2 linked regions of the Solanum lycopersicum genome follow. The protein of the gene in region 1 interacts with the protein of each later gene in a pairwise test. Links are inferred from orthologs where the notes say so. Each region holds a gene or a part of one and is shown in the gene's direction. Other genes may lie near its edges.

Evidence for each region. The genes of interacting proteins can lie anywhere in the genome.
Region 2: the proteins of TCP4 (region 1) and transcription factor HEC3 interact in binary tests that used the Arabidopsis thaliana proteins (3 or more experiments, as listed by UniProt). The link is inferred for Solanum lycopersicum from reciprocal best matches to the Arabidopsis thaliana genes TCP5 and HEC3.

The regions. Positions count from the first base shown.
Region 1 is NC_090802.1:61,726,857-61,730,711, reverse strand, and holds TCP4 (TCP transcription factor 4), read left to right. Parts: upstream 1-1,493; 5' UTR 1,494-1,669; intron 1,670-1,954; 5' UTR 1,955-1,992; coding exon 1,993-3,018; 3' UTR 3,019-3,201; downstream 3,202-3,855.
Region 2 is NC_090810.1:1,211,105-1,214,222, forward strand, and holds transcription factor HEC3, read left to right. Parts: upstream 1-1,513; 5' UTR 1,514-1,647; coding exon 1,648-2,499; 3' UTR 2,500-2,610; downstream 2,611-3,118. UniProt on the Arabidopsis thaliana protein: Required for the female reproductive tract development and fertility.

The DNA.
Region 1 (3,855 bases):
TCATGATTTTTTTTAGAGTGAAATGATAAGAACTTCGATTAATATTTTACCATGATTTTTTTTATCTTATTGATATGCCAAAAAAATGCAATTTGTAGTACTTCTAGTATAATTTTTGAATATCTAATAATCTAATTTAACTTTGAAAATTAATCAAATTGACTTTTTAAAACACAACATGACAATTAAAAACGAACAGAGGGAGTATGAGATGAGTTTAATTAGGATTCGCTTGGACATGCGATACAAATTATGATTTGAAATCAGATTAATTTGAGATTAAACTTTTGTTTGGATGAGTAATTTATATTTCTCGGGTTGTGTTTTTTCTTATAAACATGAAAAAAAAATTCTACAAATTGTATAAACCACCGAAATTTCTCCCATTCTTATACAATCTTAGCAAAGAGTAAAAAATAATTCATAAACAAGAAACTATAACATCCTACGACGCCACATTAAAAAATTACATATCTCCATATATCTTTTTTTATAAATAGAATATTACAATTAAAATTTTTAAATACACAATTATTTTATAAAAATCCACTATTCAACAATTGTAATAACGAGGGAAAAGGTCTGAAAAATACTTCAATTTTGATCGAAATTGCTATTTCGATATGAAACTTTATGGAGAACCTTTTAACCTTCCCCACTCCTCCAAACTATTTAATAGTGTATTTTAAAGGTATATTTATGTCCACGTAGACACATTACTATTTATAATTATGTAATATTTTTATGTCCACGTAAATACATATATACCTTTAAAATACACTATTAAATAATGTAGGGGTAAAATGTCTTTTCTAAAATTTGATACTACAACAATAATATCAATCAAAGTTCAAATGTATTTCACATCATTTTCCCTAATAACTGATTATTATTTAATATAATTATTCTACATGTAACCGACAATATCTCACAACAAACATATATATATATATTCAAAATTTTAAATTCGGATGATTAGTCATTTATTTTAATTTGTACTACTACTATAGTTTGCAGAAAAGCAATAAACCCTTTTCTTTTTTTTTTCTTCTAACCCTAGAGTGGTCCTTGTGAGGTTAACAGTGTACCTTCCTTTCTTAGCATCATTAAATAGAATCAAAACTTAAAATTAAAATATGAAACTACTACAATAACTAGCTTCTTGACTAATAGACTGTTAAAAAAAAAAAACTATTCATGATGGAGTAGTCTAAATACGAGAAATTAAATTTCTATTACATTATTATTTGTAGCCTATGGACAAAGAATTATCGCGATTATATATACAAATACTATAAAAGTTTATATACACAGTAGATACATAATACTTAAAACTTTACATTTTTCTCAACCCTAGAATTGAATTACACACGAGTAAGCGCCACGTGGCCTTCTACTTTCCTCTTTTGAGATAATATTATAACATAGTGAGAATCTAACATTGCTTCTTTTTCTACAAACCATAACTTATCCTTGTAAATTTATTCTCTCTTGTTTCTCTTTTGGTCAAATTTTGTCCATAAACTCATTTTTTCCCCCAAGCCTTGGGAGAAATTATTATAAAAGAAGTTAAATGTTATCAAGAGTTGTTAATTCCATGTTGAGATTTTGCTAGCCACTCAAAGATATATATACAAGTTGTAGTTTATCTTCTACAAAACCTAATTATGTAAGTACAATTCATGATTCTTATAGTAGTAATTGTTTATACAAAATTTTAAACATCTATTTTTTTAGATCTTAGTCATTTTTACAAAGTCTTGGGTGTTTAGTGAAATGATTTTGGAGGTTACCCTAATATTAATCACAACTCCAATTTTCCCCCAAAAATTGCACTATGTACACAAGAAAATTTCCATTGATGGAGTTTTTTTTTTTTGTGTGTATAGTATAATTTGATAATATTTTATCTCGATCTAATAGATGCTTAATATTTTTCTTTGATTTTTACTAGATCGATGCTGATGAAGAACGATATATGATATACATATCATGAATTCATCGAGTGGAAATAATTTTGAGACGAAACAAGAATCAAATAATGATAGTAGATTGGCCTCAAAGACGACTAGTGCACCACCATCGAGTACTTCAAGGCAATGGGGAGCTAATAAAAACCCAAGAATAGTACGCGTATCGCGTACTTTTGGAGGGAAAGATAGGCATAGTAAGGTGTGCACCATAAGGGGGCTTAGAGATCGAAGAATTAGACTATCAGTTCCAACTGCAATTCAATTGTATGATCTACAAGACAGGCTTGGCCTGAGCCAACCTAGTAAAGTTGTAGATTGGCTCTTAGAAGCGACTAAACTTGATATCGATACTCTTCCTCCACTTCCTGTACCACCTGAGTACTTCACTCGGTTTCAACAACCATCTCATGAAGAGTTCTCTGATGTCCGTGCTCAATGGTTGAACGCGAACACATCTTATTTGGAACATGGGAGGAACAAGTCAATCGCTTCAAATGAGGAATCAAATCAAGAGGATAATATGTTTACCTTAGGAAATCAACGATCATCTAATTTACCAGGCATGCCTTTCAATTCTTATAACTATCAATGGGATCATCAGCCTAATTCGAATTTGTCTTTAGGTCATTTTGGACATAATCATTCATTTTCATCCCAAATAGATGATGATCAATCTCATCAAAATACTAGTTTCCCTCTATCTTTGGGATCATCATCTTCGCCTTTTCCCTCGAGTTCTCAATTGTATTTCAATCCAATAACAACAACATTTCAACCTATAGTTCCATCTCCTAACTATATAACAAATCATCATCCCATTGAGAGTCATGATCCAAGGGCTAATATGAACCATTTCAATTTCTTAAGCTCAACTACTTCACACAATAATCAACTTGTGATGCCAACTCTTAATTTGATTAGTTCCCAAATGAAACCCTTTAGTCTCAATAATGATCCTAGATGGATGAGTTCCAGAGATGATGAAGATGACGATGATGACGATGATGATGATGATAATCAACCACATGAAGGTCGCGCAATTTGATTCTAAGCCAAGTGGAGGAAATGAATCTTCGTCTTTACTTCAAATATTTTGAATTAAAGTTGTTGTCCTGGATTATAATCATGCTACATTATTCCTTCTTCACAGGTACAACAAATAATTAAAGTGAATCATTCTATTTCTTATACCATATAGGTTTATAAAGTTTTAATCTCTATTCTGAAATATACAAATATTAATCTGTAGTTTTTTTTTTTGGGTGATTCAAGTGGTATAAATCTACATTATTATTGGTATTGGATTAACCTTTAATTTATACAAATTGAAAGTGTGTTTAGCATTAATTTTTTCAATTTTGTTTTTCTTGGATTTGCATCATTAATATGTCATGGTTTAACCGAAATCTCGATAGTAGAAACTCTAATCGAAGCAAAGGTTGGGTTTATTCTCGACTCTCACAACCTTAAGGTAATTGCAAATATGATGCAACAGATCTGGAACTATAGTTACGTAGTCAAGTCAATCAGTTGTTGTTGGTATCTTCTTCTCATTTTTCTTTATTTCATTATCAGAGCTCCGAGAAGTAAGAGATAAAGATGTTGAAGAATATAGTGAAAAATCCATAATAGGATCTAACCACAAAGTATGAATGATTTTAGCCAATAAAAATATTTTATAGAAGGTAAACGAAACTATTCAAGTTCAATTTTGTCATGTAAAATTGATACATAACATATCATGCTTAGCTGTGTACTAATGATAGACGTAATAACTAGTAATATAATTAATTACTCCATTAATTTGTTTTAATCTAACTAGAAAACAAAAAGTTTCTTTCATATCTAATTAGGTTTTTAGACGAATTAGTTGGAAAATAAG
Region 2 (3,118 bases), on another chromosome or scaffold:
GGCTTTATGAAGTACAATTGTTATTCAGATTACTACTAAGTAGATTGTCATTATATAAGAAAAACTATAGATAAAATATTTATTGCTCTTTCGCACATTTTCGAAGATCTTCAAATAGTTGTTGTACTTGTAAAATTCACGGGTCAACACATTATCAGTTTCTAGTAGGCAAATTGATGATTCTAGATCCACCAATGTTAATTTGAGGGAAATGTTCGCATGATGAATGATTCGCATATAGAAAAATTGTATATATTTATGTGACTATATGATAATGTATATGAGTTTATAATTAAAGAGATTTGATGTAGTAATCAATGAGAATAAATATTATAGCATAACATATTAGTAGGGATAATATATATATAGAATTGACATTGAAGATTAATATGATAGATCGTCATAGATGTAAATACAAAAATGGAACGATTCTCATTTGAGAAGTATCTACATAAAATTAACAAAAATCTACGTGTATTCTATCTCATGATTTCACCAACTCACAAATATCACAAACTAATAGAAAATAATTGTGTGACTATATAGTATATTGCATATAAGTATAATTATAATGATTTGAAATAATCATACAAAAGAATGAAATCATAATTTAACAATTAGGAACAACAAAGAATAATAAATCTTTCCAGAAAAAAATGATAAATACAAATCTGAATACTTCCTATATAATGACACGAGTCTCAATTCAATAGGAATCCTATAAAAATCAATAAAAATCTGAAATTATTTTCTAATATTTTCATGCGGTATTAACCTCTAGATCACACCCAAGTCATGAAGAATTTATCAATTGATTTTGATGGCTAGCAAATTAAGCAAAACAAATAGATAAATTCTAGGGATGAAGCAAAGGCAACAAGTCTCTACTAAATGCACTTGTATACCAATATAGCAAAAGTAGGACATTTATGGCCTTTGAAACACACTCCCCCCCAACCCACAACCCTCACAAAAATAGAAACTTCTTTTTGTTTATCTATTTATTTTTGAAAATAACTTGATCTTGTGGTCCCCCTCCCACAATAATTATTATTTTAGCTCGGAGCTGGAGTATAGTTTACGATACTTTGATTCATATCATATATTTATTTTTACAATTTTATAATAGTTGTTGTTAGATCAACAACTCAAACGACTGAGCATGTTGTTGTTGTTGTTAGACTAGTAACTTAAAAATGATTACTACAATCTCAACTTAACAAATTCTAAATCTCGGCTCCGCATTTTACTTTTATTAGAGACTCAATAAAGTTTGTAACACCCCCACCCCCTTCTTCCATTTGTCCCTCTATATATTGACATATATACATGTAAATATATATGTACGAATTGTGTATGTCATAATGTATATAACTTACACCTTTTCACTACCCTACGAAGATGTACTATTTAGCCTTCAAAGGCTTCACACAAAGTACATATTCATGAGCTTTGATTCAACTTTGCAATAAGTCACCTCCCTTTTTGCACCCCTCTTTTTTTTCTTTTTCTTTTTAATTACAATTTTTGGTTAAAGGGTTTCAATAAATATGAGAAAAATATTTTCATAATGACACAAAAAAAACACAATAGATATTCTTCTTCTTCTTCTTTCTTGATATATTCACCCTTTATACTCTTCTTACCATGGATATCAACCACATTAATAAACTCACTACCTCCACTTGGGATCCAACCATGTCCAATATGGACAACCAACAAGTCTTTCGCGATCAACAACAACAACAACAACCATGCTTGTCCAGTATACCAAACGACCATATCTACCACGAACATCATCATCATCAACAACAATTTCATTTCGAACATAACCCTATTTGGCCTAGTTTTCCTCTTCAAAACCCTCAACACCATCACCTTCCCTCCTCCTCAACCCAACAACAACAACAACAACAAGAAGAAGTAGTAGTTGTCCCTTTTGATCATGTGTTAAACAACCATGTTCAAACCCTAATAGAGGATCAAGAACACGATGATCAAGACGAAGATGAAGAGGAAGAAGAAGAGCTAGGAGCCATGAAAGAAATGATGTTCAAAATTGCATCTATGCAACCAGTAGACATTGATCCATCCACTATACGAAAACCTAAAAGGCGTAACGTACGTATAAGCAATGATCCACAAAGCGTAGCAGCCAGGCTACGCCGCGAAAGGATAAGTGAAAAAATCAGAATCTTGCAAAGATTAGTCCCTGGTGGAACAAAAATGGACACTGCATCCATGTTAGACGAAGCAATTCGCTATGTTAAGTTCTTAAAAAGACAAATCCGTCAATTACAATCATCGAATCATAACCTCCCACCAGCACAGATACCAGTATCGTCATGCCCTAATAATGAAAATTGGGCAAATAATATTGTCACACCAAGTACAAAAGGTCTGATTCTTGGCTCCTCTAGTAGTACTACAACCAATAATGTTACAACTTTTGTTGGTAACACTACATTGGATCCACCTTATGAGGTAATTGGTAATTAGTTAGGTCATATTATTATTATTATTATTATTATTATTATTATTATTGTGTAGTAATTGGAATTTTTAAGAATAAAAATATTATATATAGAGGAATAATTAATTATTTGTGTATAGTGGATCATGTGAATTGTGAACTAAAAAAAATAGGTTTGTTAGGATTGTGTTGACTTAAAGGGCATGATAATCATCACAACGGTTAGAGTTGAGTTACGTATGTTGGTATATACTAGTATATTAATAATTATAGAATATGGTTTTTATCTATTTATTTTTTCTGATCATCAAAAAGTTCGTTTGGCTGAATTCTCTCCCGGGAATAAAACAGTGACGTGAGAAGAAATTGAATATGATTATACTCTTTGGCCCACCTCACACACATTTATTTATTTTTTCGATTTTCAATTTGGTATCTGGGGGTCTGGTTAAATTTAGATTAGCGTTGGAAAATTTCATATTAGGATTTAGTGTTTCCTAATAAAGGTGACTCTGTATTCAGAAGGACTTGAACTCGAGACCTCTGATTAAAGATAAAGGAGTACTTACTACTCCACAACTACTCTTGCTGGTATAATCTCACGCACTTGTTTGTGCTCGTGTGCGCATGTTTGTACAATTTGTA